Linked DNA regions of Diceros bicornis minor. The protein of the gene in region 2 purifies or fractionates together with the protein of the main gene of each other region. This does not show direct contact. Links are inferred from orthologs where the notes say so. Each region holds a gene or a part of one and is shown on either strand. Other genes may lie near its edges.

Region 1 (7,117 bases), on a different chromosome or scaffold from region 2:
GACCATTTAAAAGACCAGAAGCTAAAATATATCATATGCCAGCAAGAACACTTCTCTTCACTGGTGGTAAAAAGATACAGAGCTGGTGGTCACTTGCCCTGACTTATGCGAAGATATCAGCCAGACTCTCCTCCATCCAGTGGTGCGGAGCTGTGTTTCTCCCACCTCAAGGCACCATCTCACTTAGAGCACACAAAATTCCCTAACTGCCTCCACAAGCTCAGCTGCTCAGGCAGCCACGGGAGCATCTCCTTTTCAGTTATTATTTCTCACCACCGTTTCTCCCTTCCTCAGGTGGGCTCCTCAGTATGGGAGGAGAGGAGATCAGGGAAAGGGGGGACAGAGCAGATCCAAGTCAGGAAAAGTCCAGGTGCAGAAGAGTTCGCTTGTGATGGCCAGCTGTGATCACAGCCTGGGACCCCCAAACTGTTTTCATTAATTAGCAGCGAAGGAGCCCATTTCAACACAGCTTCTCGTCTATTTCCAGGCGGCGCCGCAGAAGGCAAGTCGGCTTAGTCTGACAAATCTGACTGCACTTATTTATAGCAGAGAGAGGTCCTGCAGAGGTATGTGTTGGCAGACACATTGACCAATGGCTTCTGCTACTATCTCTAAGTGACAGGACTTTTGTTCAGAAGAGTCAAGAAGGAGGCAACAGCCAATGCACCCACTACTCCCAGCTAATAAGGCCACACCCAGCTATCTCCTTTGTGCCCTGTGGCCAGACACCACTCAGCTCAGAGCACACTGAACTCGGTGGTAGCAGTGCCTCGTGTCTCTCAACAGGTCCAGTCCTGTGCAAGTGACATTCTCTGTGCTTCACGGACAGTGAACAAAGTGGGGACGAAAATAGGGACCTGGAGATCCTTTGCCACAGAATGGCTTGTTTCTCCCAGTGATGGTCTCTACAGTTGTTCCCTTTTAATCTGGAGTCACGTGCAGCCCCCGATTAGGTTTCCTCTGGCCTCACTCCTGCCACGCCTGCAGCATACCTCTCCACCGCTCTGAGCTAAGGCCCCAATCTGGACGGGCAGAGCACTGCACTGACGGTCCCAGCTTAGCCTCCAACCTTTTGCAGTTCCTTTTCCTTCTCAGGAGTTCTATTTTCTTCAGATGGGATGAAGTAAAGGTTCCGACAACTGGAAAGCACTGTTCACAGGTGAGGCGATAGTCTCCACCAGCCCAGTGGATTTCCAAGCGACGCTTCCCCAGACTACTTGGATACCCTTCTCCACAGACCAGGGCTTTGTCCAGAGAGCAAAGAACTCCTCCACCCCACTGGCAAGCAAACGCCCAGACCAGGGAGCTGGCCTGGCACCTGCAGCTCTGGTGGTGCTAACACATGCGCCCGCTCACGCTGAACACACGGAATTGCTCCCCTGCTTCCCACCTGCCCTGAAAGACCCCTTATCAGCACAAAATCAAAGACTCTTAGTCAAGGGTAAAGGTAGGGGAAGAGGCAGCAGCTTTGCCACCTAAAATTGTTGCAGGATTTGTGTTTCAACCACTCTGTCTTTTTGGCAGGCCTGTGAGGGGCGCAAGCCCATGCCCACTGACCAGGCAAGGGTCTCTAACAGCCCAGCCCCACTGGAGCAGGACCACAGACACAATGGGAGAACCATTTCCCTCTGATCCCACTTTACGGTCTCCTTGGGTTCCAACCCCACAGTCACCACTGATTAGCCCAAGGTCACCCAGTTAGCAAGTGGTGGACGCAGGACTGAAACTCGGGTCACCTGATGCCAGGATCCTTGTTCTAAACCCCCGCATCCTGTTCCCCACTATGGCTTCTGTGGCAATGTGTTGTCCTGAGGCCCCCTCCGTGGGCGTGGGGACCCGCGTGGAGGCTGACTCCTTGGGTCCCCTGGGATCCCACGAATGTGTGGACATCGCTTCTACTCACCGTCAGCCGGCTGCTGGAAGTTGACGTAGGCATAACCCAGGGAGCGGCGGGTGATCATATCGCGGCAGACCCGGATGGACAGCACAGGCCCCGCAGGACTGAACTTTTCATACAGCATGGCCTCGGTGACGTCCGAGTGCAGGTCACCCACGTACAGGGAGGCCATGGGGTAGCTGCTGGCTGCAGCGTTCATCTCCCCAGCCCCCACCACCCCGAGCCCCGCCAGGAGGACTTCTTAGAGGGACCCCACAGGACAAAAGGGGCTCTTCTCGGAGCCGTGGCCCGCGCCGCGGCTCACAGGTGGCAGAGGGAAGCTCAGGGAAGCTGGAGTCGGCTCAGAGAGACAGAAGACCGCCCAGAGTTGTTCAGGGACGGCTCGCACGAGACTGCAAAACCACAGACAAAAGGCTCGCAAAAACAATATGGCCCTCCCTGGGAGTTTGTAATTTTCAGCTGTCCTGGTCTGAAGCTCCAAATTTCCAAAAAAAAAAAAAAAATTAAAATGGGGACTCCCCTCCAAATTATAAAAATTCTTCAAGTGGCAACCAAATGGTGCCCACGGCGGCCTCCAGGACACGCGTTTCTCTATAAATATAGGCCCCGGGCTGCTGGCGGTTTAAGATTACAGCGGCCAGGAGAAGAGGGAAACCAAATATTGGTCGGTGCCGATTCGGCAAGCCCCGGGCGGGCCGAGCGCGCAGCCGCCTCCCACGCCGGGCCGGCGAAGGGCAGCGCGGACACGTGGTGCGCGGGGAGGCCGGCGCGCGGGGGGCGAGGGGGGCGAGGGCGGCGGGCGCGGGGCTGCCACGCGGCGCGGACGGGCGGCCGGAGCGGAGTCGCGTGGACGCGGGCGGCTCACCACCGGACCGACGGACCGGACCGACGGGCGCCCAGGTGCGGCGGCGGCGGGCGCGGGCAGGCCGGAAGCGTGCGAAAGTGACTTCCCCGCGGGTTCTCCGAGGAGGATTCAATTTTTTTTCTCTCTTTCCTTTTTCTTTTTTTTTTTTTTTAGATTTTAAAGCGTTTTCGGGTTTTTTTTATCTTTTTCTCTTTTTTTCTTCAGGCTGCTGGGCCCGAAAGCGGCGCAGGCTGCGGCAACCCGGGGCGGAGAGAGGCGGCCGACGGAGCCACCGCTCCATTTATACCCGCCCGCCCCGGGCGCTGCTGGTCGAAGGGCGCCTCGCGACCTGGGCGCAGTCGTGCCCGCCCACTCGGCCCGGGGGCCCGAGGCGGGGCGGCCACGCGAGAGCGACCCGGCGCGGCCGCGCGGCGCCACAGCGACCCCTGGCGCACGGAGGACCGCTCCGCGGGGGCCTCCGCTGGACCCAAGGGCCGCTTTCCAGACTCTTAGAGTGGAAACCGCCCTCCCCTCCGGGAAAAGAACTCGCAGATAATTTAACCCACCCGCACGCCTAATGTTTATAATCAATGTATTGTGAAATAAAGATGACATAAAATAATTATAATTATATAATAAGTGGTTCAGTATAGAAATGTTTGGGCCCAAATACAGGAGAAGACATTCTGAAGTTTTCAGACTACTGGGACCTAGAGGTAGAATCATCCAGAACGCGACGGCTACAAATGTAGTAGTATCCATGGGTGATTGGATTCTCTGGAAAGATAAATAAATTTGGTAAAGCTTCAATGAAACAAAATGCAATCATCCCTCTATTTGCATGGTAGTGGCATTCCTGGAAATTTAGTTGACATTTAAGGGCGCAAAAATACTTTCTGTTTCTATGGAAGAGGGAGTTAGTGTCTAGGCTCCAAGAGTTATAAAAAGATTTTTTCATCTACATGAGGATCTGGCAGGTCATTTGAAAGTCATGTGGTATATGGGATGAGTCTACGTTATGTGTGACTGTCTCTATGTGTTGCAAGATGTATAGCATTCCTTCCTCCATAAATGCCATGAACTACCCTCCCCATCATCGTGACAACCAAAAACAGAAATTACCGAAGGGCATACAGACACTTCCATTGAAGACCACTGATTTCTGTAAAGGAATGAAGAAATACATGTATTTATATATTCATTCATTCAAAGAAATGGTTAATCAGGGCTCCCTCTATGCCAATGCCAGATATAGGTGCTGGGGGATACCATGGTGGACAAGGCAGAGGAAGTCCGCTCCGTTATGGAGTTTATATTCTAGTTAGTGTATTAAATCAAGAAACATTTATGGAGTGCTCCTTCTGTGGATAGAGCCTCTCCTCAGGGAAGCCTTCCCAAAGCACCCAGTGGTCTAATGTAGTCTGCCAGCACTGTTAATCACTACCACTGTCTTCTTGACTCTTATTACCACCTGAAATGGTGTTGTTCATATATATGTTGTTCATATATGTTCATATATGTGTTATTCATTATGTTGTTCGTATATGTTGTTCATATATACTAAGTTTACCTGTTTGGTGTCTGTCTTTTCCCCACTGTATATAAGCTTCATGGGAGCAGGAACCCAGAACAGTGCCTAACATGGCACACACTAAATGTGTAAATAAATATTTGCTAAAAAAGCAAGTGAATACCAGGCACCCATGAGCAAAGCCCACACAGTCCCTGACCTCATGCAGCTGACTGTCTAGTGGGAAGCTTCCTACCTGTATGACCTTGAGCAAACTAGTTCACATCTCTGACTCTCAGATTTCCAATCTGTAAGTAAATTAATAAAGTTACTCAGTAGGTTTTTTGTGAGAATAAGCTAATACACATAAATTACACATAAATCACTTGTGTAGATGATCATTGTTATTATTATCAAGCTACATTTGTACTGAGAAGAGAAGGGAGTTACGTAAGTGAAGATAGGGAGAACAGCATGTGTAAAGGCCCTGAGGCAGGAGTGGGCTGGAGCCGAGACTGCAAGACAGCCCATGGTGCTGTGGGAGGTGGAAAAGACAGCCTGCTCTTGGAGACTTGAAACACTTTGGACTTTATCCTGAGATCAAAGGGTAGAGCTGAAAGATTTTAAAAGGGAAGTGCCTTGGTTCAAATGACATTTTTTTTTAAAAAAAAAAAACACTTCTCTGGATGTAGAATGGAAAAGGATTAGAGGGTGGGTGCAAGGAGAGCTTCGAGGTGATGGCCGCTAAGGTGGTGGCCATGGAAATGGAGGAAGCGGCTTGATTAAAAAAAAATTTAGACAGTCTAATTTGTGATTCATTGGATGTGGGAGGTGAGAGAGTAACAGTCAAAGATGGTTCCCAAGTTTCTAGTAAATCAAAAAAATTTAGCTTCCCCACATCTAAACACAAGATTGTCACTTAGTCTTAGAGGGGAGAAATGTGCAAAGCCACCGAAGGAGCCGCCTGGAGTCCAGGCCTGCAAAATCCGAATGGGACTTGATCAGGGCCTGGTAGGGTGGGAAGAGGCTGGACAAATGACCAGGCCAGTGGTCTGGAAGGAGGCCTGAGCACATCAGTACAAATCTGCCTTTGCTTGGGTGGGAAGGGGTGAAATTTTTCTTTTTTTCCACTGGGGCAGAACCTATTCTCAGTGGGTCTGTACTTGATACACGATATCATGTGTCAAGAGAAAGAGTGTCCAGGGTTGGGAAGAGGAAGGGAAAAAAACTTCCTGGTGAAGACATGGATGTAGGTGCGGGCCTCTGCAGCTGAGGATTTTAATAGCAGAAATGTAAGAGCTTTGCCTTCTGGATTCATTCATCATTCAACAAACTTTATGTGGCATTCCTTAGAGCCAGGCTCTCTCTGCTCTGGGTGCTGGGGACAGAACTCTGAGCTAAACATTCACACAACAACCCGCCCTTACTGAGGAGAGAGATAAGAAGCAAGCAAATGTGTGTGTGTGTGTAAAACTTGTGAAAAATGCTTTGAATCTAGAGACTTTTTGAAGGTGAGAGCAGGGAAAACCCAGCCCCATCCTCCCAGCAGCAGTCCACAAAAGCTCTCTTTCCTATAAGCAACAATGGCTCTGCCCCTCAGGAAGGAATATCCTTCCTTGTCCACAGACAGGGTCTTTGAGATCTTAGAGGTTTTGTCCAGGCACCAAGACAGGCTGTGCAACTTTGGGTGGCTGTTGTCACATCTCTGAGCCTCTCACATCTGTACGATGGGCTCAGTAAGCCCTTTAAGGAAGAGGGGTCAGTACCTGCCCACTAGAGAGAAGGCATTTCCCTTCCTGTCCTCCCACATTGATAGCTGCGAATCTGCCTGACCCCTTACTGACCTTTCCAGATAGTCAGAAAATGCTAAGAATAAACCACCATTTATTGAGCACCTACTATGTGTCAGACATCATTTTCAGACCTCAACCCAGGACTAAACGTGTGTGGCATGACCAAAGACTAGGGTATTAAAAGCTGGAACTGACCTAAAAAAACCATCATCTGCAGAGTTCAAAGGTATAAATGAGGGGAGTCATAAGTGCTGTCTTCCTGTTCAGGACCCCAGGCTGGATGCTGGCTATAAAGATGGACAAGACCTTATCTTTTCCCTGGAACTGATCACAGTCTAGTGGGAACAACTGACATCCAGATCAATTACTACGACCAAATGCCTATGGAATTAGGTGCCACAGACAGGAGCCCCAGGCACTAAGGGAGTGATTATCTGTACCAAGGGTGAGGATCAAGGAAGGCTTCCTGGAGGAGATGGCACTGGAGCTGGACCTTTAAAAGAAGATAGTGTTTTAGATGGTAGAAATGGAACGGAAACAAGGAGAACACTCTATAAACAGAAGTTCAGAAATGGACAACCTATTTATTAGCTTGGGTAAGTCAGTTCACACTCTTGGGCCTCAGTTTTCTCATCTATAAAATAGAAATGATACGAGACACTATGTGTAAACCTTTATACAGTGCCAGGCATACAATAAGCATTTGAAATGATACGAGACACTATGTGTAAACCTTTATACAGTGCCAGCCATACAATAAGCATTTGACAGATAGTGGATAATATAATACTGTATTATTACAACACGACATTTTCAAGGTTGCTGTGAGTGGCCCGTTGAGGCTAGAACTTAGGGTGTGTGTGTCTGTGTATAGCAGAGAAGGAAACTGCAAAGTAGAGCTGAGATCTTGCAGAGGTCCTTGAATGCCGTTCTAGAGGGTGACATTTCCCAGAAGTAATTGATCCAATACTATTATTCAGAAATAGTGACATTAACAGCTAACACTGCACAGTGCTGCCTACATGCCAGGCGCTATTCTAAGCCCTGTAGAGTAACTGGCCAAGATCACAAAG
Region 2 (7,811 bases):
ACATCCAAAATATATTTGTTCTCTGTAAACAACAAACTCTATGCTTTTAATAAGACAATGCCTCATGGTTTGGGATTTGTGAAAACTAATATTTTTTAAAGCTTGTAGAAATAATTGCTATAGACTGATAACCATTTTCAGCAGTTGAAGAGAAAGGATTTTTGAGATTTGCCCAAGCTATGAATTCTAAATACTGATTTCTTTTAGAAAAAATTCCTAAAAACTTTTCCTGATTTATATTTTGCTGTGCGCAAAAAGGTTAATGAGATTATTACATATGCTGCCACAGTATATGGTATATGTGACATTTGGACATGAAGAATCAACCCTAATTTTTTAGGTTTAACAACACAGAGAATTAATCATTTATTCAACCATGTTTCCACTTTCCTTACCTGATGAAGGATTCCTGGGTTTCACACACATAGTGAATCTGACTTTGAGAAATATTTATGGAATGTAAAATCTGTATAGAGAAATGCATGAAATTGTCATAGACCATGGAACAAATATGGTGAAGGCTATGAACATAAGCATAATATAATTTGTTTACACCCTTCAGTTTTATTTTCAGAAAATGGTTATAGTTTAAAAAGATGTAACAGAAAATGACTGGCTGCAAGCAGAAAGATTATAGACCACTTCCACAATTCTTCTTCAGCCAATAACAAATTATGATACACGAGGGATTTTGAAATTGTCTTGTCATGTACATACACAAGATATTTAAACTAGATGGGATAGCAGCTATTACATCCTTCAAAGGCTGATGGAATCAAGAAGGCCTTAATTTTGTATTTTCCAGAGAACATTACCAACGTAGCAAGACTTACTAATAACCAATGGTTGCCTGCAGAGCACACAGGTTGTTTGTCGGAACTTGCTGAATAAATTGGTGTGTCTTGAGAGTGCAAGTATTTCCTACATGACTCCTGCTGAAAAGATCTTCCTTTGATTCTACTCCAGGGCGGATGCTGAAATTGGTGTGCATACAAGGAAAGCTAAGATGCAGATGGAAACTTCGATTATTTTCTTAACTTGAAAACCAATTAAATTGCTCCGTTTTCACATTTCTAGATCCAAACTTTAAGGACAAAATTTTCTCTAGTGATTGTGTAGAGCGGCAAGAACAGAAAAAAATATTAGAAATCAGAAATAAAAAATATAAACAAGCGCAACGATCTTAAATCTGCTTCTGAAAATATCATGCATCTTTTTGAAACAGTGCACAAAACTCCAGTCACTGAAATTGCTTCAATGAAATGCCATCAACCATCCAAAAAGTTTTCAAGGCTAAAAATTAAAAAGGAGAAAAGTCTTTACCTTAATAAGCTCCTATTAGAAAAAGGAACGTTTAATAAATTGGTGGCAATATCACCATATTATACTGGCAGAGCTAGCCTTGCTTCTCCATGGAGCTCAGTTGAAAGTATCTTATTTAGTAACGCAAATGTCCCTGTTTAATGGTCTTGGGAGCAACCAACAGTTGACAGGACCGAGAAATTACTGTTCTTGACCTTATAAGGTCAAACTGTAAAATTTTAACTACTACATTTTTAATAATAAAATTATAAAAACGAATTTCCTTCCCAAGAAAATTCAGATTTTTTCCAGAAGTTCATTCTGTTATGGCGACATTCTGATTCAGAGAATAGCAATTTTTAACTATCAAACATTCACCATTTGACCAAAATATACATTCAGGTAGATCTCAAATTACACACTGCAGGTGTAGCTACAGTCTAAAAATAGCTGGTATGCTCAAGAGCAGGTGCCCCAACAGGATGGTTCTCATACTTTTGTGATTTATAGATAGTTTGTTATGGATATTGACTTGGTTCATTTGTTGAAATACAGGTTTGGGAGGACTTTGATTCATGTTCACATGTTTGAAATGAGGACTGTGCTGGAAACTCCGGGTTATTGCGGCCGTCTTGCTATAATATACACTCTGCCAACCTCCACAGACAACACTTGGTTCTCTCCTGTCCACTAGCACAGACCCAGCAAACCGAAACCTCAGTCATCCGAGACGTAGGACGACTAGAGAGTTTTGGTTCTAACACGGGCCACGTGGGACGTGAACCGCTTCACCTCGGCAGCCACATGTGCAATTTCTGCAAATGACGAACATCTTCATCACAGATGTCTGCCTCTCGGTCACTCACTCTAGGCTCACTTGGGCCCTGCCTGCCCTTCGGCTTTCGCCCTCCGCCTGGTTCCACCTTTCTAGAGTGGGCTGCCCTCCCGCCCTCCCGCCCTCCCGCCTTGCTTCAGGCGGTGTCTGCGAATGTGGCCGCCAGGAAGGACCCCTCCCCAGACGAGCCCTGGTTTGAGGCCCTAAGCTCGCATCTGGGGAGCGCTCTCGGGGCGTGCGAGGAGACAGAGGCACCGGCTCCGTGGAGCAGACCCCGCCACCCGGCCGAGCCGACCCAGCCGCGGGGCGGAAGTGGCCGCTGGGGCCGACAGGGGGCGCGCTGCGCGGGGCTGCGGCTCGTCTAGGCCGGAGCCGTTCCGGCTGCGCTCGGTGCCCACAAAGCGCCAGCTGAGGGGCCGCTGCGGGCCGAGCGCGGCTGAGCCTGCCCGCCCCCGAGCTCCACCGGCCGGCCGCCCCGCGCCCCCGTCGCGACCCCGCGCTCCGAGTACCGGGCCTGACGGCCGCGCGAGCCCGGGCGGGGAAGGCAGGGCCGGGCGGGCGCCGCCTGCGGAGAGGCCGGGGGCCGGCCTGCGTGGGGCCGCGCGGCGGCGGCGGCGGCGGCGACTCCGGCCGGGCCGGACAGCGCGGGGCCATGGCCGAGGCGGCGGCGGCTCCGGTAAGGCGGCCCGCGCGAGCGCTGCGAGCCCGGGAGGGTCGGACCCGAGGGAGGGAGGAGGGCGGGAAGCCGGCCTGTCAGGCGCGGGGCCCGGAGCGGGGCGCAGCCCGAGCGGCCGAGCGCAGACGGGCGCCCCGGGGTCCCGCGGGGAGGGCCGGGGAGGGCCCGGTGGCCGGGTGGGACGCCGCCGCCGCGGGGCTGGGAGGGCTCGCCGCCTCCCTCCGTGAGATCCCGCGCCGGCTGCGAGGCCAGGGCGTCCCAGCCCTTCTAGAGGCTTCTAGCGGGGAGAGCCTGGGACGCTCCTGAGAGAGGATGCGTGAAGAGGGGTGCCTCCGCTCGGTGTCCGCGCTCCACAGCCCGCCAGACGCAGGCGGGGGCTGTGCGGTCGTCAGCCTCGGCTCTGGGAGCCGTCCTCACAGAATCTCCCGCAGCGCGGTCCGCCTGAGCCTCGCTCAGCCACGGAGGCGGTGGTGACGGTGACACTCGGTGTATTGAAGGACTGCCCAGCACATGCCAGTGCCGGACACACAGGAGGGCCTCGGTCGGCACGCTGCGGGAACGCGGGCCGGGTTCCGAGGGCGGCGCGCCTGCTGCGCGTCTGTTCATTCAGCCGACGTTGACCGCAGGCCGCTGACCGCAGGCCGCGGTGGGCCAGGCCCCCCGCCAGTTGCTGGTGCTGCAGAGATGACCGAGGCAGTCCCTGCACCCCCGACGCGGGTAGCATGAGCGGGGACCAGGCGAGTAACAGAGGGCTGAAAAGTATGCCCTGGATTTGCCAACTGAGAAGCCTTTGGTCACCCCAAAGAGAGCCATTTTAGTGGTCAAGCTGTGCTACCGAGGAGTGACTGGAAAGTGAGAGGAGGAGGAAGAGGAGGAAGAAGAGAGCCGCATCAGTGGGGTGGGGAATAGAGTAGAGGGGAATACCATCTCTGCCCTTGGACCTGTTTTTCCTTTTCCAACCTTTTTTTTTTTTTAATATGGTAGAGATGATCATGCGTCTATGCTAGCCCTGTCCAGTGGAAATATAATGGAAGCCACATATAGATCTTTAAATTTTCTAGTAGTCATGTTTAAAAAGTAAAAAGAAATAGATAAAATGAATTTTAATGATATTTAACCCAATGCATACAAAATATTTCAATGTGGAATCAATATTAAATTATTAATGAAGTTTTACATTTTCCCCCATACTAATCCTTCAAAATCTCCAGTGTATTTTACTTTATTTTTCGTGTGTGAGGAAGATCGGCCCTGTGCTAACATCTGCCAATCCTCCTCTTGTTTGCTGAGGAAGCCTGGCCCTGGGCTAACGTCTGTGCCCATCTTCCTCCACTTTGTATGGGACACCGCCACAGCATGGCCTGACAAGCGGTGCGTCATGCACACCGGGCCCCCAACCGGAGAACCCCGGCCGGCGCTGCAGAGCGCACGCACTTAACCACTTGTGCCACACGGCTGGCCCCTCCAGTGTATTTTATACTCACAGCACATCTCAATCAAAACCATATTTCAAGTACTCAGTAGCCACATGTGGCTACCATATTGAACAGTGCAGGTCCATCTTATGGAGAAGAATCAAGAGAGATTGAAATATTGACCATAAAAAAGAAGAAGAATGTACCTAAAAATGTGGAAAGAGTTGGCATTCAGAGCTTAAGTGGAGAGATCAATTTTAAATAGAATGAACCTTTTTCCTGTGGGAAGGAAAGAAGAAAGCAAGATTAAGTTACTGATGAGTTTGAAGTGGGAAGGAGTGTGAAGAAAAAGAAGAGAAAGTTGAGAGAGTTTGGTCTAGTTACTCTAATTTTCTTCTCAAAGTAGGAGTCCATGTCATCTCCTCAGAGTGAGGGGCCCTGCAGTGGACAGGCATCTTACTACTCAACGCATGTTCCCTGAGCCAGCAGCATCACAATCACCTGGGAGCTTGTTAAAACTGCAGGATCTCAATTTTCCTCCCAGACCTACGGAATCAAAGTCTGCATTTCAACAAGATCTCCAGATGATTCTTATGCACATTAGTTTGAGAAGTGCTGTACTAAAATTTAAGGAGAGTGCGGGCACAAGGGTTCTGGTGGCCACTAGATGGAATGGGAAAAGAAGCATGGGGGCACCAGGCAGTGTTGAGTCCCTGCTGAGCTTAGACACCATTGGTCTGTGGTGACACCAGTTTACCCGGTTCTGTGACTTCCTTTAGTAGGGCTTACCAGCCTGCTAACAGGAACAGAGAATGAGAACGATCGGACTGATTCAAAGCTAGGGGTTAGTTGAGCAGGTGAGGCACAAAGACAGATGAGTGAAGGGGCTGAAGGTGGCTGAAATGATCAACCAAGGAAGAAAGGAAAGCCTGGAGCAGGCTGATAAACCAGGAGCAAATGGAATGGTCAAGGGTTTAGTGGGATTGGAGAGCAGGTGAAATGAGAAAAAGGTAGTGGGTGAGCTGGAGAGATGGGAGGTGGTGGCCAGAGAGCATGTTATCAAATTCATAGAGTCGAAGGGCTTTGTGGAGGTCATGCCTGTCAAGCCTTCTGTTTTTTGTAGAAATTTCTTTTTTTTAAATGCACTCTGTTTTGAAGTACATTCAGTGTTAGGGCAGCCTGTTATTTTCTTGGAAAGATCTAGTTCTAAAATTATTTATATAGGCCAAGGTTTGCCTGCCTGAAAATTCCGTGTTGGTTCTAGTTCTGCCCTCTGGAGTAACACAATATAAGATTAAACAAGCCTGTTCTGCTTTCTGTTTATAAGCCTCAAATGTTTGAAAATAGCTGTCATGTTTTCTCCAGACTCAACATTCTCAGCTTAAGTATTACTGAATGGTATGGTTGTGGTTTGTAAGCAGGGTGGTGGACAGGGCCACAGCATAAGTCAATAAGGGGTTTATCAGAGGGCACTGAGCTCAGTGAAACCTGGAAAGATCCTGATGCACTTAGGCCTTTTCCAGAGAGAGAGGATGCAGCAACAACTTGAGCCTCTGGACAGTTGGCTCTAGAGCCTTACATCCCAGGGAATATGTCAGGCTGGTTCTTGATCCAGCTTTACTCATTCACTGCCTTACCTAATCCATCCCTGAACCACCAAAGCAGTTCTCTTGGCTTTTGATGCCAATGAGCTCTATAAAGACGAGGCTTATGCAGGTGGTACTAAAACTATATTTAGATTAATCTCAGCCGGCCAGTTTAAGCGGTCCTTATCTGATTTTAGTTTGGATTAGGGCTCCTTCTAACACTCAGTGTCTTGTCTCATCTCTCCACTGCACACAGACTTCTGAATGGGACTCTGAATGCCTTACGTCCCTGCAGCCCCTTCCTCTTCCCACACCCCCAGCAGCAAATGAGGCACACCTGCAGACTGCAGCCATCTCCCTGTGGACAGTGGTGGCCGCCGTGCAGGCTATAGAGAGAAAGGTGGAAGTCCACAGCCGGCGACTCCTGCATCTAGAAGGACGGACAGGGACAGCAGAGAAGAAGCTAGCCAGCTGTGAAAAGACAGTGGCCGATCTTGGGAACCAGCTGGAGGGCAAGTGGGCCGTGCTGGGGACCCTGTTGCAGGAGTACGGGCTGCTGCAGAGGCGGCTGGAGAACTTGGAGAACCTGCTGAGAAACAGGAACTTCTGGATCCTGCGGCTGCCCCCGGGTATTAAAGGGGATATCCCAAAGGTAATACCTTCACTTCTAGATGGAAAGTGGTCCCACTAGTCCTTACACTAGTAGTAAAGGATAGTCTTGGTCAATCAGTTAGGCCGAAGGAACTATGAAGTTGTTTTGTGTTTATCTATCTGGGGAGCATGCCATGTTCAATTTAGCGACCATTTGAAGTGTTGAACTTCAGGTTGGAAAACTCTTCTTAATCCCAAGTTGGCTATCTGGCAGATAGGTCTCTTTTGCTTTCTCCTGCCCATTACCCCCGAGTCACTTTTCCCTTTGTTAACCTGTCTGCCACAATCTTGGTGTGGAAACTAAATTAAATATCATTTAAATCAGTCAATTTGAATTTGTCGGCAATTCTGGTGAAAAGTTAGAGGGAGGAGAAGGGAATGTATGTAGAGTAAATGGTTAATATAAGGGTTTAGGGCCATCTGTAGGTCTAGAACTGATGTAGATCCTGCCGTTCAGCATCCTTCACAGAAGTGTGCTGCAATGCTAGGGCCCAGCCTTTCTGGAGTGAATAGCCCATAAAACAAAAGGAAATATACATCATTCCTAAACGATGGAAGACAGCCTTGAGCCAGCTAGTTTCCAAGCATGCCTGCTTATTCATTCATTCATTCAACACATATTTCTTGAACACTTACTATTTGCTTGATATCTACATCCTGAAGGCACAGCAGTGAACAAGACACTAAAGCTCCCCTGGAGTTTAAATTTTAGTGGGGAAAGAAAGATAACATAAACAAAGAAAAACTTATGTCCATTTAAGTGCTTTGATAAAAAATAAAAGTGCTATCTGGTGATTTATTTTAGATTGGGTATCAGAGAAGTTCTCATAAAGGAGCTAATATTTAGGTTGATACTAAATAACAGGAAGGACCCAACTGTGAGATCTGAGGAAGAGCTTTCCAGGCAGAAAGAATACCTAGTGCAAAGTCCCGAAGGCACAAAGAAACTAGGAACACTGAGGGAAAGGAAGAAGGCCAGTAGGCTGGTGTACAGTGAGTAAAGGGGCATGACTGGAGAAGTGAGGAGGAGGCAGATGGTTTAGGGCAGTGTTTTTCAGCCCTGGCTGTACATGGGAATCACCATGGTGGGTGGGGGGCTTTTAAAATTTTGATGGGCATCACACCTAGAGATTCTGATTTAATAGGTCCAGGATGGGGCTGAAGCAGTAATAATTCTTAAAGCTCCACAGCTGATTCTAATATGCAGCTAGAGTTATGAACCACTGGGTAGGGCATTGGAGACCGAGGTCAGAGGTTTGGATTTTATCTTAGGTGTAATGGGAAGAAATTGCAGGGTTTTAAGCAGAGGAGTTATACTGGCTTGTATTTTGAAAGAATCACTTTGG
Region 3 (7,767 bases), on a different chromosome or scaffold from region 2:
GTCTACATGTCACGAGAATGCAGCACAAGGTCATCAAGATGCCCTGTCTTAAAGACCATGACCTTTTTCTTGACGTTTTCATTACCAAAAATACCAACTCCAATTTCCACAGTGTTAGGTTATCCAACTGTCACTTAAATCAAATAAGTTCAAGAACCAGAAGGTAAGTAAAAATACCTTTCTGTAGCTAAATATCACAAATTAATCCACTAAATCTCGTTTACTTTATGCATCATGAAAATGCTCTCATTCAGAGCCTACTTTCTTTTATTTGATATACAATTCTACCAAGTTTGATAATCTGGCTTCCCATACTACAGAGAATAAAAGCAGCAGCAAATGACATGAGAAAGACTACTAGAAGAAGGCACGCTGTCAACAGCAAGAAGGGATGGCAGAAGCCCAGGACTAAAACATGAGTTCCACTGCAGTGACATCCCTTTTCCTTGGTGTTCAGGTGTAATTATTTCCCTCTCCCTGCTGCATCATCTGTATTTTTGTATTGTATACTAGTTTTAAATGATTTCATGGTTTTGTTAGATCTGTGTCCTTTATCATAAACAAATTCTCATGCAAGTAGATGAAGTGTTTAAAAAGTGATAGCTAACAGCATGACAAACAAGGAAGGAGACCGAAAAATTATTTAAAAATCAACACTATACTGGAAGTGTCTGGGAGGTGGTTAGTTAATTGAGGGGAAACAACCTCCTAGATCTTGAATGCCTTCGTATCACTGTCAGAGTACAGTAACTGATGGACAGGAGGAAAAGGCTAATTCGAGTTTTTAGGACACCATTTAAGAAGTCAAGGCAGTGCACAATGTATTCAGATTTGAGGGACTACCAAATTAATTTGAAGAAATGATACAAATGAAAGAACTTAAGTTCATGTTTTGGTACTACTTAGATTTTTAAGGAAAAATAAAAATAAAAAGATGTAGTTACTACAGTAGTAAACTTCAGATATCCAGAAAGTTCCTGCCATATAGAACCTCATTTCCCTACGCTGAGCAGACAAATGAGGTACCATTAGGGCAACTGCTGATTAGGCTGCAGAGTTCATGAATATATATGTATCAACTCAATGCTTATTATATAGGGCTTTTATTGATCCCCAGTCTTTTCACAATTCAAAGAATTCATACAACCTAGAAATTCAACATTTACTGCCATACAAAAGACAGTTTAGCACTTACATTTGCCCAGCCTAGGGAATAAAAGGCACTTAGAGACGTTTCTGAATTTCCCAACATTTGATTAATATTGATGCTTGGTATTTGGCCCAGCTTTAATCATCAATATTGTCTTACTGATCCAAATATCGCACAGATCTTAAAATGGGTATGTTTTCTATGGTTTTCACTTACCACTACAATCATCTTTCTGTTAAGTCAACCTTGTAACAGTAAAATGTCACTTAAGCAACTGCTGAATTTAAAATTACTCTAACTCACGGCAAAAGGTGTTAATTTCCCTCAAAAGCTTTTCATTTGGTCGTACAGTATCATATAATGATTCAGACAAAGCCACTTGAGATCTCTAAAGCATAATTTTAACTACTTACTGTTTTTTAAATTGCAATATGTCTACTGGTAAAAGGAAAAAAAATCCACTCATAAACGATCCCTTCCACAATTTTATTGTACATCAAAAATCCTTATGCCCCAGCCTATTTTTTATCTTAATTTTTTTAACGTGTCTCAGTTTGATTTGCATGTCTCGGTCCATATAAAAAACGCCTTATGGATATAATACATATTTCCCGGATTTGGCTTTAATAGGTGTCAGAGCGGTCCCCTTATGTACATTAGCAGCAGCTCATCCTGGCGACGTTGGGTTAAAAAAAATTTTTTTTTTTTTTTTAAACCTGCGTGTGTCCAGGAGCCAGCAGCGCCCACTAGGAGAGGGAGGCGGAAGCCTGGAAGGCTTGAGGCCGGATTGGGGGGACCATTTGGGTGGCCCTGGAGTGAAACACTATACCGTCGGGGGCGGGGCAGGAGAGGGTGAGGGTGCACGCGTTGGAAAATTTCCTAGGCCAGCGTCCACGGTTCCTCAGTTTGGGGTTTGGATGGGGGGGTTACGACAAGGAGAGCTCATTTTCTCGGGGTGACACCCCCGCCTCGGCAGGCGGGGACCAAACGAACAAGGGATGATTTTTTATTCCTGCCACCCAAAAGGCCGACATTGCCAATCAAAGAAATGAAAGTCTCTCCTATCGTCCTCCGCCTCCCAACCACCGACACCTTGAAATTCAAATTTAAACAAATTAGCCTCAGCAAAACCCCTTTTTCGCGAGTGTGGGATTGAAGGGCCCAGATTTCCCAGGCAGAGGCCGACGGGAAGGGGGGGGAGAGGGAGCGAGCGAGAGGAGAGGGAGAGGCGGAGGCTTTTTCCTGCACAGCCCCATCCCCCACCCCGTTACCCCAGTTCCGGGAATGTGGAGGGGGCCGGGGGCTGTCGAGGGGCTCCCAAGCCCCCAAGCCCCAGGATAACGGGCACCCTCCACCCCGCGCCGCGCCCGTGCCCCGCCCCCGCCCTCCAGGCGGCGAGAAGGAAAGGGGGAGGGGAGCGAATGCTAGACTGTTCCGCCGCCCCCCGACCCGCGCGCGCCCGCGGCCCCCCATCCCCGCCGAGCTCCGCGGGTACCTGTCGGCGCCGAAAGGTCAGGGTTTGGGCCCCTCGGAGGGGCCCGACACAGGATTTGTCCACCACACACACCCCCTTCCTATTTACCTCCTTCTTCTTCTCGCCCTTCTCCGTGGCCACGGTGGCTTCGGTGACCGCGGTGGCCGCGGCGGCCGCTCCCTCCTCCTTGGAGGTGGACGGCCCCGGCTGCTCGTCCTCTATGACCACGATTGTGGCGGTCGCATCAGCGGCTGCCACGGTGGCTGCCAATGCAGCGGTGTCCGGCTCCATGGCGCTGGAGCGGGAACGAGGAGGGGGACGAGGAAAGGGACGAGGGCTCCCGGGCGGCGGCAGTGGCTGCACTGGAAAAGGCTGGATGAAGCAGGGGTGGGGAATCACTCCGCTTTCAACCCCTTCGCTCGGCCCCCCCCTTCTTTAAATAACCCTCAACCCTGCCCCACTTCCGTCCACCCACCCTACGTCATGGCCTCCCCCCCGTCACCCTCCCCTCTTCCTCCACCCCCCCTCAACGATCGCGAGACTCCCCCTCCCCACCCAGAGCCCGGGCCGGCCCCGCACGACCAACTGTTGCCTGAGTGTGGGGCGCAGACAGGGGTGGAGGCGGGAACCCACAGCCTGAAGCCCCCTAAAAATCTACTTTCCCTCACGCCCCCAACAGTCAGCCTAAGCTCCCCTCACAGATGTGTGCAGAAGGAATCCTCTTTCCCTTAAATCTGCTCTTTGTACCTCGGGGCGCTCTCCCCTTCTTGCACAAAGAACTTTTCCTCTGCTTATAACTGTACTGTAGAAGGTCTTTCTCACCATTTGCAAAGCCCAGAACCCCTCTGGGGACTGCCCTTTCCCAAGTCCCTAAAGGGGAATTGGTGGTACTATTCCCACCTTCGTAAATTCTGCAGGAGAAGCACTCCTCGAATCTCTTGATTGCAGCTGCAAACATTCACTTACAAGGCAAAGCGTGACTCTTGGTTTTATGTATATTTGCTCTATTTTCAACTCTGATACGTCTCAGATGGCCAATGTGCAGGAGCCCTTCTTTTACCTTCACCACTGAATTTTAAAACTCCTGGGGGGGCAAGGGCAAGGGCAAGGTCCCCACAGAACCTGGGGCAGCTCATGGTAAGTACCTAATATTAGTAATTGGATTGAATTACCGTGATTTTTTGCGTGTGTGTTCTATTCGTTATTATTTTGTAGTAACTCAACACCAATGATATACATGATCACGGATATAAAATTATATCGTCAAGGGTGCGAAAGTATGCAAATGTCAGTTATTAAATATTATTGTTTCTGTCTCCTCACCATTTATTTTGATCAATAATGGGAAGATTTATATCCTAGTTTTTAAATTTCAGTCATTAGAGACAACAGATAGCAAAATATACAGGAAACAGTGTACCAAACAACAATCACAAAACCTACGGTTTCCAAAATGGAGCAAATACTTTCCAAAGGGAAAAGAAACTATGATTAATTTCCCTCAACACACCTTCCTAAATTACCAATCTCAAATCAAGTGTGATTTCTGCGAATAGCAGGAAGGCACATAACTGTCCTCCAAATATATCCCTTTTTCTTGGGGATAATACCCTAAATTCCCTTTGTTTTAAAGGTGTGACTCCTTAATATGCAAAAACTTGTGACATTTTAGCTATTATTGGTCATTTACAGCCTACTGTGAATGAGTGTGAGATCCCATCCAGGGACTGGTTTTGAACAGAGAAAAAGAGACAAAAAGCAAGACACAGGTGATTGAAGGAGTGTGCCACCGAGAGAGGAGAGACTGGTGGTGGTAGCTTTGCTTTGATTTAACTTGCGTTACGTTCTTCTCATTTACTTTAGTTTTTCCCTCAGTGCCCATGTTTCTCATGCTGAAGTACACATGTGTACTATCCGATGGGTATAGGGACAGTCAGTATAAAAATGGTTCATATTTCTGGAGCATCAACTTTAGTCAAAAAGTGGGAAGGAATTAAGTCACTTAAGTGATCATTTGAAACACGATTTTTTCTATTAAAATGTGCAGATATATTAAGGAATGAACTGTGGAGTTTCAAGTGTCTCCAAATAAAAGCTTGAGACTTCCAGTTAGACATCCTACCCCTGTTCAATCTCCTCAGTCATTAAGGATTGTTTGATGGGAAAGTTGAAACAGCACTGAAAGAGAAGGATGCTTCAATGCATGCATCCACCTGACTCGAGAAGAACCCTTCCAGACAAGGGCAGTGGAGAATTTCTTTTTCACCAAATTGCAGCTATGGGAGGATAAAATTCCCCTTTCATTGCCTGGGGCTTCAAAGGACAAAGGCTCAAGAAATATTTGTTGTGTATTGATGTGTTCCTGCTTGCAAAAGTACTTTGTCCCATTGTATTTCTCATTGTAAATGTACAGTATTTCATTTACGTCATGGGCTAAATGCACTTCTGTGAGGAAATCTGGGAAACTCACATCCCTTTATAATGCCTTTTCTGTGGTATCATGTGTTCCAAGTTCCAAAAAAAAGAATTTAGAAATTAATTTGGGGGACAGAACATAGTTGTACGTTGGCAATTTTCCTTGTATGTATAACATGATCCTTTCTTTTCAAGATGACACGGCTAAAAGTGCTACGAAGTATATGAGTTTGGCTGGAAAAGTCAATGCTTGGTCCATAGATCTTGCCGCAGGATTCATGTAAATATTGCCCTTTGGCTTGTGGCAACAGCTGCTATTTACAGAGCACGTGCTATCCTTATTTGCAAATCTGCCTAAAAATTCATGATCTGTAGACTTTGTTCAACAAGAGTCACAACATTTCTGATCCTACTCAACACCTTGCTCTATCTGCTACTACTTTCCCTTATTATGTCTTTTCATTTGAAGTGGTCTTTAATTGCTCTACTCCATTGACATTGGAGAACAAAGGAAACTTTTATAGAGAACCTTGGGGCCATATTTGGGAATCTCAAAACGAATCCTAGTCTACTGGACTATATGTCCATTTTGGCAGATTGTGAACATTGTAGAAGTTATTCAATAGTCATTTTTGCATAGCTGAACTGGTTTAGTAGCTACCAGAAGGCATGTCCAGTGGTGGTATTTAAAATATTTTTATAAAGTTCATAAAGGCAAGGTCAAGGGCTTGGTGTTCCTTCTCTTATCCTGTATCTGAAATTTGTCATTGAAACCACAGTATGACTTAAAACCACATTGCGATCCCACAGATCAGTGTTCTTCAGAAGCTGGTACACAGGATTCTGGTCATGGTATTTTGCTCACCACTATAGTAACCATTCTGCTCATATCAGTAAGCTTTCTCACCATTCTTCTTAAAGACATTTATGATAGTGGGATTTTCGAAAATGTGGTATTCCCTCGGTGCTCTGTATGTTAAGGAAACGGTAGTGGTAATAGCTAGTATATGTCTACCATTTCTTGAGCACCCCCTATTGTATCAGGCTCTGTGCTAGGTTCTTTACGTATGATATTGCTAATCTTCCCAGTAATTTTATGAAATAAATATTATTACCCCTATTTTACAGATCATAAAACAGAGACTTAGAGAGGCTAAAATAACTCACCTGAGGTCCCACAGCTAGTGAGTGACTAGATTGAAGCCAGATTCAAATCCCAGACTGTCTGGCTCCAAACCTGAACTTTCCACTTCACCTTTATTAAATTCTCTGTTCTTCACAGAACTTCCTCCTTGACAATGTAAATCATATTGAGAAAATGACTGAAAGATATTTCTGCTATCTGTCTCCATCGTGTTCCCTCTGGGTTTATGAGGAGACACTGTCACTCTTAAGGCTCTGTTAGTATGTACAGATAGATTATTTATTTAGCTCTACATAGAAGTTGTTGTAAGGTGGAAGTTTGAGAATAATTTGGGATTCTTGCATATACCCAAAGTAAATTCTTGGAATAGTAATGGGACTCAGGACAGTTAGAGTTCAGAGAGGGGGAGAACCTAACAGAAACAACTCAAATGTCCAAGAAGTCGTCTTTGGCAAAATGTCGTACAAAACATTCATAAACGGAATACTATGCAGTCATTATGAATGATTATGTAAATATACATCTGTTGACATGGAAATATGCTCCTAATATATTATTGAGTAAGGAAATAGAATGATATAATTTTGGGGGAAAAGAAAGAAACTATTTACATAAATAGAGTTCCACAAAGGAACAGGTCTGGAAGGTTCTACTCAAAATGTTAACAGTAGTTACATTGTAGCAAGGTGGTGGGATTATGGGTGACTTTTTTCTTATTTTTGCTTTTCTGTTACTTCTAATTTTCCTCAATGAAGGTGTTTATACTTATATAATAAATAAATAACATTTTCAAAGATGAATCAAAAAATATTGCTCAAAACTGGACAGGTTGAAATAATCCCTAACAGATGGAGTAGGAGCTAGTAGACAGGGTGAGTCAAAAAAAGGAAAAGAACAATTTCATGCTGAAGAGACTTTTGCAGTTACTTAATGTGTAATGTAACAGAAGAAATATAAATTGTCGTGCTATTTACAATAGTGTTACCTGGTTAAGGAACTGTTTTTGACATTATTGTTTTAAGTTGTATGTAAAAGGATTTTTCTACTTTTAAAAATTATCACATGAAACCTAGCTCAGGAAAAAGATACAGCCAATTTTTTAAATACTTCTCACACGGAAATTCTACACACCCATGCATGCCCTAAAACTTGAAAAACATGCTAAGTAATCTGAATTGAGTTTGCTAAAAGCAAATGGTGAATATTATTAGAGGCAGAATAGCACCATTATTACCAGCTTGGGCTCTAGAGTCGGAAAGACTTGGAGTTTGAATTCTACCAAATTATTTAACCTCTCTAAGCCTCAGATTTGCATCTGTAAAATATAGTAATACTTAACTCAAAGTGGCTTTATGAGGATTTAATGTAAAAGTATACATGAAACATTTAGCATGGTCTTGGCACGTAAAATGCACTCAATGGATAGTAGTTAGAAAGAAAAAAGCAAGATGATGCTTTGCGCTTCAGACTAAGCCAAGGAAAAAGCCAGGATATGAGAAAGTCAGTCCAGAAGTCAGTCCTAAACTAAAGTGGGAATAAGGCAGAACTGTTGTTTGCCCAGTTAATTTGGTATGTTTGTTATCA
Region 4 (7,016 bases), on a different chromosome or scaffold from region 2:
GCTTCATTAAAGGGGAAAGGCTGGCAGGCCTTTGAGTCTACTGTACACCAAGCTGCAGATACAATGAAGAAGGGAAACAAACCTTTACCAACTCCAGGGTGCAAAGGCAGCACATGGGGTGCACGGACATATTTCAACACCCTTCTCATTGTGGGGGAAGGGGACTGTCTTTCTGAGCACAGTCTTACGGATGAATGGACAGCAGCCAGCCTCACACTGGTCACTCTGCATGGTCTCAGGCCTCGAGAACCTCAGAGGAGGCCTGCGTGGCTTGTGAGGAGATGAGCACAAGACTGAGTCACGCAAGTGGACAGGGATTCCAGACTCCAGGTCAAGAGCACCAGGCAGCGTGCTGGGCGGGAAAAACCACCGGCTCCAACTCACGTTGTAAGAGGATCACAGTTTCCACTTATAGAAAACAGACCTCAGTGACAGCAGGAAGACTCTCGCTTCTTCTGTACAAATGATGGCGGCTTGGACAGAGTAAGAAACATCAAGTGGAGAAATGTGGCTTGTCCTCAAAAGCCTGATTTTCAGAAGACTGAGCGTATATAACACTTCCAAAAAGCAGTTCAAGACTTAAAAACCCAAACATTAAATACTTGCTAGTATCATTACGTATCTAATGGGACTCTGTGAGTTTTAAAAGATGCCATATAAACACAAGTTAGCAGAAGTGACAGAAACGCATACATGAGGACCAGGCCTCAATTTTGTTCCTAGAACACTCTACTGGACTTAGGTTCCTCTTATATTATAGATTACACTTGTCTAATTTTCGTGGGTCAAAAAGAGTTATACCTCCGTTTATGAATCTAAGTTTAAAGGAGTGATGAATGCCATGTTTATGTGTGTATTTTGTATGCTGAAATTCAAGATGTAAGAAAAGCTATCGAGGGTCATGTAAGCTGACCATTTCAACGTCTACCACATGGTCCAAGGCAGAAATCCACAACTCCATACCTACAGTAGGCAATTCTAGTTCCAAGTAAGATGGAAGCTAGAGTGAATGGTGGATTGCAAACCTAAGAACATTCAAATTCAGCCAAACAGAACACTGCTCCGGCCCAATAAAACCCGAGCTAGTGGGCTGTTCGAAACTCCTCGTTGAAGGGAAAGGCTCTGGCACGAAACAGACCTCAGCAGGAATTCCCGCTTCCTCCAAGTGGATGCCTGTGGCACCCACTCTTAAGGACTCTTGATTAAATGCGATAATGTAAAGTGTTTTATACAATCAGTGACTGATTCGCAGACCGGAAAGTAAGCTAAATTAGCTGATAACAATGCTAACACGTGGGCTTTCAGGTGCCAGGCATATTCTCATTTAATCCAATGCCAGTTTAAAGCCCATGTTGTCAGGCTGGCCCCGTGGCTTAGCGGTTAAGTGCGCGCCCTCCACTGCTGGCGACCTGGGTTCGGATCCGGGGCGTGCACCGACGCACTGCTTCTCTGGCCATGCTGAGGCCACGTCCCACATACAGCAACTAGAAGGATGTGCAGCTATGACATACAACTATCTACTGTGGCTTTGGGGGAAAAATAAATAAATAAAATTAAAGCCCATGTTGTCAATCTTAGCCCACAGCTGGGGCTTGTTTATGACACTTGTGCCCAAAGTCAAAAAAGCCAATGGAGGGAGCGTTCTCACCATCAGAGAAAGGAGGCTGGACCCCAACTTTTCTGTATTGGGTCTAAAATGAAGCCAGGGACTTCCATGATTCCATTTCCACTTTAAGTTACGTTATATCTTGGGGGGATCCAGATAGGGGTTCTTCAGCAAGACACATCCCCTCTAACTGTGGTGAAGAAGTGGTTGGAACCTTAAACACCCAGTAGGGAGACCCCCACACACACTCCACTTTGAAAAGCCCAAATCAGAACGGGCCTGGCACAGCCATAGAAAACAAGCACAGCGAAATGGCAAAAGCGGGGTCACCAATCCGCTTGGAAGTGTTCAGTCTTGGTCAAGGTTCCCGTGATCAGCGTTCCAAGCGAGGGGTACAAGTTTTCAGGACTGAAATGGGAGCCCTTCTAGAACAAGAAGGGGGGGCCCAATGGTCGTGCCACTGACCCATGTGCACGGCATTGCTTGAGCTGGTCCCCAACATCAGCGACCCCAAACTGCCCCCTAAATACACACACTGGAAAGTGCGGCCAGTTCTCCCCAGCAAGGCTTCCTTGATGCCCACGGCTCATGGGCACAGATTTACTAGAAAAGACCATGCAGCCTTCGCGCTGCCTGAGCCCTGGCCCTGCGCTGCACGGTACGAGTTCCTTCCAGAATGTGACTTCCCAGCAGTCCGAGACGATGGCGGGAGCCCCCCAAGGAAGACGGGGCTCGCAAACCTGAGCCGGCCGCGCCCGGGCCCCGACCGGCGACGTCCGTCTCTGGAAGCCGCCATCGGGATGCGCCGCGCGGGGGTGCCGAGGGGGCCCCCCGAAACGACCCCGGGGACCGGGCCGGCACGACCCCCCAGGAGGGCCGGGCACCGGAAGCGGAGGCCGAAGTGCCCTGCCGAGGGGTGTCCTGAGGCCGCGGGCTGCCCACTTCCTGTGCGACCAGGCTGGCGGCGGGAGCCCGGCCCGCGGCTGCTCCAGGAAGGGGACCCCCGAGGCGACCCCAACGCTTGCTCTACTTTGAGGTCAGAAGAGACCCCAAGTTCCTAGGCACCAGGGAGCTGTGAGGTGCCTCGGCCCATTTTGGCGCCAAACGGCCAGGGGCGCGCGCGACCGGAAGTGCCACCCTGCCCGCGCCAACCGCCGCCGCGCGCCGCGCCACCCCGCGCATGCGCGCCCGTCTGTCAGCGGCGGCCACAGGCTACCCGGCGGGGAAGCGACCCCCCCCAGCGCTGTGCCACCCCCCGCGTTCGCGGGCCCCCGTGGCACTTACCGCCTGCGGACATCGTCGGGCAGTGAGAAGGCCCGGGAGGCCAGCGCGGGCACCCGGGCTGGGGCGGTGCGGGCAGGCATCTTGGAAACTGCAGCAGAGGCGGCAGCAGCACAGACAGCCCTGGCTTTTCGCGCGCGCGGAAACCGACGGGGAGGGGCGGCGAGCGGAGGCGGCGCGTACCACCTCGGCCTGGGCGTGGGGGAAGGCGGGACGTACCACGCGGAGAGAGGCCGTACCATGTGCGGCCGGACGTAGTGGAGCGGGACGTGCGCGGGGGCTGCGCATGCGCGAGTCAGGCGCACACCCCCGCGCGGAGCAGTGGGTTCGTCCAAGCTCCGCCGTTTGCCGAGAGCCTTGCCCGAGACATTCATTCATTCATTCTTTCCCGCAGGCTGGGGATAAAACGGGGAGCATTCCCACGAGATTCAAGCCTGTGGGCTTTTGAGTTAAAGTCCTCAGTTCCAACCCCACCACCACCTGTTTGCTCACTCTAACGACCTTGGGAGGGTCATTTGGACCCAGCCTCAGTTTCCTCATCTGTAAAAAGGGGCTAATACCACCTACTCCAGAAAAGCTTGAGGCTGCACAGAATATGTAGCTAGCACCAAGGATCTCACAGTGTGGGGAAGCCCGGACCACTTCCACATCCTGTGTATTTAAAAAAGTACTAGAACTTGGGGAAAGGCTAGTCCGTTTAACAAATGGTGTTGGGAAAACAGGATATCCAAATGCTAAAGAATGAAATTGGACCCTTACTTTACACTATATACAAAAACTCAAAATGGATTAGACCTAAGCATAAGACCTGAAATGACAGAACTCCTAGAAGAAAACATGGAAATGCTTCACAACAATGAATTTGGCCGTGATTTCATGGATATGACACCAAAAGCACAGGCAACAGAAGCTAAAATAGACAAATGGGGCTACAAACTAAAAATCTGCACAGCAAAGGAAACAATCGACAAAGTGAAAAAGTAACCTATAGAATGGGAAAAAATATTTGTAAACCATTTATCTGATAAGGGATTAATATCCAGAATATATAAAGAACTCTTACAACTCAACAATAAGGCAAATAACCTGGTTTAAAATGGGCAAATAATTTGAATAGACATTTCTCCCAAGATACACAGACGGCCAACAAGTTTATGAAAAGATGCTCAAGTTAAGTCATCATCCGGGAAATGCAAATCAAAACCACAATGAGCTATCCCCCTTACGCCTATTAGCATGGCCATGATCAAAAGAATGAAATAGGCATCGGCGAGAATGTGGAGATTAAGACCCACATGCACTGTTGGTGGGGATGTAAAATGGTGCAGCTGCTATAGAAAAATGTGGGGGTTCCTCAAAAAATTAAAAATAGAATTATTGGGGCCGGCCGGTGGCTTAGCGGTTAAGTGCGCACGCTTCGCTACTGGCGGCCTGGGTTCGGATCCCGGGTGGGTGCGCACCGACGCACCGCTTCTCCGGCGATGCTGAGGCCGCGTCCCACATACAGCAACTAGAAGGATGTGCAGCTATGACATACAACTATCTACTGGGGCTTTGGGGAAAAAAAAAAAAAAAAAGGAGGATTGGCAATAGATATTAGCTCAGGGCCGGTCTTCCTCAGCAAAAAGAGGAGGATTGGCATGGATGTTAGCTCAGGGCTGATCTTCCTCACAAAAAAATTAATAGCTATTAATTTAATATGGAATCAGCACTTATGTACTGTACCAGGCTCTTAAGAGTTATTTAATTTCATCCTTAACAAGCATAAAGGGGGGGGGTGTCAGGACCCCATTTCCCATGGCCTAGGATATTTGTCACAAAGGAGTCTGGCTCAGAGGCTGCTAACCCAAGATCATAGACTCAGTAAGCAGCAGGGACCATGAATCCTGGTGTCTTGAGCTCCAGAGCCTGAATGCGAAAGAGAAACCCCAGGGTTGGCCAGCTGTCAGGCCCCTGGGAGGCCAAAGGGACAGCATTGAGGGAACCGGGCTGAGGATGGGGACAGATAGAAGAGAGTCTGGCCAGAGTGAGGCTCAGGACCCGTAGACCTGCTGGAAACCAGCATCTGGGCCCCTAAGCTGCCTTAGGAAGAGGGGTGCTCACAGGATGGGGGAGAGAGGGGACACAGACAAGCAGACCTGCTTGTCAGGGCCTCAGCTCTCGGAAGAGCAGCTGCATGTAGTGGCAGGATGTCCTCTCAGGCGGATCTTCTTTGTGATCCCTTTGTCAAGGGATGATTCGACCCATTTTACAGATGGGGCAAGGGCTCAGCGACATCAAAATTTGCCCCACTTGGTGCCAACGTTGCTGATCTGCTCTCAAGGTGCTGCTTCAGACCATCTCTAATTCCTCTCCTCCCCTCACATGCAAGAGGTGAGCAATCTCTGTTGGTTCCTCCTCTAAAATACAACCCGGGTCTTTCTGCTTATCCGCTCTGCTGCCTCCTCAGAGATTCCATCATCACTCCATCACTTGCCTGGACTGTTCTAGTAGCCTCTTCCCTGGTCTCCCAGACTACAGCATCCAGAGAGCTTTAAAAAAAAAGGGGGGTGGGGGGACATATCCTTCTTCTCTTCTCTTCCCCACTAAAACCTTGCAAAACTTCTCATTGCCCTTCAAATAAAATCTAAGCATTTTACTCTATTTACAGGGTCCTTCCTGGATGCATCTCATCCCGCTACCACCACCACCTCACTGAGCTCCAGCTTCTTGATTCACTTTTAGTCTTTCAAGCTCTTATGTGCCCCAGGGCCTTTGCTTCACTTCTGCCCAGACCACTCTTCTGGGAGATTCACACAGTTCCAAGGTTGCCTCTACTCAGAGGCTTCCCCCTGACCTCTCACTCTGGCCTATTACCCTGCTCCTTCATAGAGTTTACCACTGTCAGAGAGTTTCTTATTTACTGTCATCATAGTATGTCTATTTCACTAGAGCAGAGCAGGGGTCTGCACATTTTTTCTCTAAAGGATCAGTAAATATTTTAGGTTTTGTAGGCCACACGTTCTCTGTTGCAACTCCTCAATGCTGCCATTGTAGCATGAAAACAGCCATAGACAGTCAACGAATAGGTATGGCCGTGTTCCAATAAAACTTTATTTACAACAACAGATGGTGGGCCGGATTTAGCTTATGGGCCTTAGCATGCTGACCCCTGCAAAGACTACGAGCTCCAGAGGGCAAGGACCTGGTCTGCCTCGTTCACAGCTGGCCCTCCAAGGGCTCACTCCGTAGGAATCCAAAGATTGGTTGAATATATAGGACGTAGGAGGTGGCAAGCAGGTGCCTGATGTACAGTGAAGATGCAAAGGTTGGTGGGTATGAAGCTATTTTCTCCCCCACAACAATGGATTTCCATTTCACAAACAGGGAAACTGAGGCCCAAATCAGAGAAGGTTGCAAAGCCTCGTTTGTCTCTAGTCCTTGAGTCATCCACTTCACTCAATTCACCTGACCACTAGAAATGTCAGCCAGAGCCATGGGGAGAGGGATGCTGATGGCTTCCGGGAGCCTCCAGAGTGACTGGTTGGACCACCAGAGACCTCCACCTAGAAATGGGCTCATCCCTTGAGAGAAGGGACTGGAAATTCCAGAAGCAGCCAGGTTCAGCTCTCAGGTGCATTTACTCCACCTCCACCTGTTGGTCTCTAAAGTAGTGTTCATGAACCCCTGACATGAGACTTGTCAGGCCCACCTCCCTGCTTCCCAGGCCGTATTCCAGCCTCCAGCTGGAGGGCCACACTCCAGGGGCCAGGAAAGGCTAGGTGTCAGCCCCGAGCACCAGGGCTAGTGGAGAGATGGCCACATGTCCTGGGCCACAGTCAGTCAGAAAGCCAGAGCTGAGTCATGCCACATGCTGGGGCATTAGTCACGGCAACTGAGCTCTCGCTTGGTGCCAGGACCAAAGGAGGCCCCAGATGGCGGCAGCAGCACTCAAGGGTTCGATGGGGACACTTTGCCACTCTCGCCCCAGGCAGGGGCCAGGCAGGAAGACCAGCAGGGCAGGCTTCGCAAGCTCCCTCTCTGGGCTCAAGTGACCAGGAATCAGATCTGGGGAAACCAACTCTGGGGTGTGCTGGGTGGACCTGCCTGCTCCTTGTAGAGCACTTAAGCAGGCTGATGGCTTTCTGTA

The links.
Region 1: the proteins of EZH2 (region 2) and PABPC4 purify together in Homo sapiens (affinity purification with mass spectrometry, with the first as the bait; 3 studies listed by BioGRID). This does not show direct contact. The link is inferred for Diceros bicornis minor from reciprocal best matches to the Homo sapiens genes EZH2 and PABPC4.
Region 3: the proteins of EZH2 (region 2) and SMARCA1 purify together in Homo sapiens (affinity purification with mass spectrometry, with the first as the bait; 3 studies listed by BioGRID). This does not show direct contact. The link is inferred for Diceros bicornis minor from reciprocal best matches to the Homo sapiens genes EZH2 and SMARCA1.
Region 4: the proteins of EZH2 (region 2) and DNMT1 purify together in Homo sapiens (affinity purification with western blotting; 6 studies listed by BioGRID and IntAct, with this or other methods). This does not show direct contact. The link is inferred for Diceros bicornis minor from reciprocal best matches to the Homo sapiens genes EZH2 and DNMT1.

What each region holds. Positions count from the first base shown.
Region 1 is NC_080752.1:53,260,753-53,267,869, forward strand, and holds the start of PABPC4 (polyadenylate-binding protein 4), read right to left. Parts: upstream 3,012-7,117; 5' UTR 2,097-3,011; coding exon 1,904-2,096; intron 1-1,903.
Region 2 is NC_080742.1:95,356,406-95,364,216, forward strand, and holds the start of EZH2 (histone-lysine N-methyltransferase EZH2), read right to left. Parts: upstream 3,002-7,811; 5' UTR 2,994-3,001; intron 2,814-2,993; coding exon of another isoform or gene 2,790-2,813; exon of another isoform or gene 2,544-2,789; intron 1-2,543. Other genes in the region: ZNF398 (zinc finger protein 398), read left to right, coding at 2,790-2,813, 6,071-6,466. UniProt on the Homo sapiens protein: Polycomb group (PcG) protein. Catalytic subunit of the PRC2/EED-EZH2 complex, which methylates 'Lys-9' (H3K9me) and 'Lys-27' (H3K27me) of histone H3, leading to transcriptional repression of the affected target gene.
Region 3 is NC_080781.1:118,323,924-118,331,690, forward strand, and holds the start of SMARCA1 (probable global transcription activator SNF2L1), read right to left. Parts: upstream 3,017-7,767; 5' UTR 2,916-3,016; coding exon 2,733-2,915; intron 1-2,732.
Region 4 is NC_080769.1:8,953,117-8,960,132, reverse strand, and holds the start of DNMT1 (DNA (cytosine-5)-methyltransferase 1), read right to left. Parts: upstream 3,017-7,016; 5' UTR 2,971-3,016; coding exon 2,891-2,970; intron 2,680-2,890; exon of another isoform or gene 2,403-2,679; coding exon of another isoform or gene 2,347-2,402; intron 1-2,346. UniProt on the Homo sapiens protein: Methylates CpG residues. Preferentially methylates hemimethylated DNA. Associates with DNA replication sites in S phase maintaining the methylation pattern in the newly synthesized strand, that is essential for epigenetic inheritance.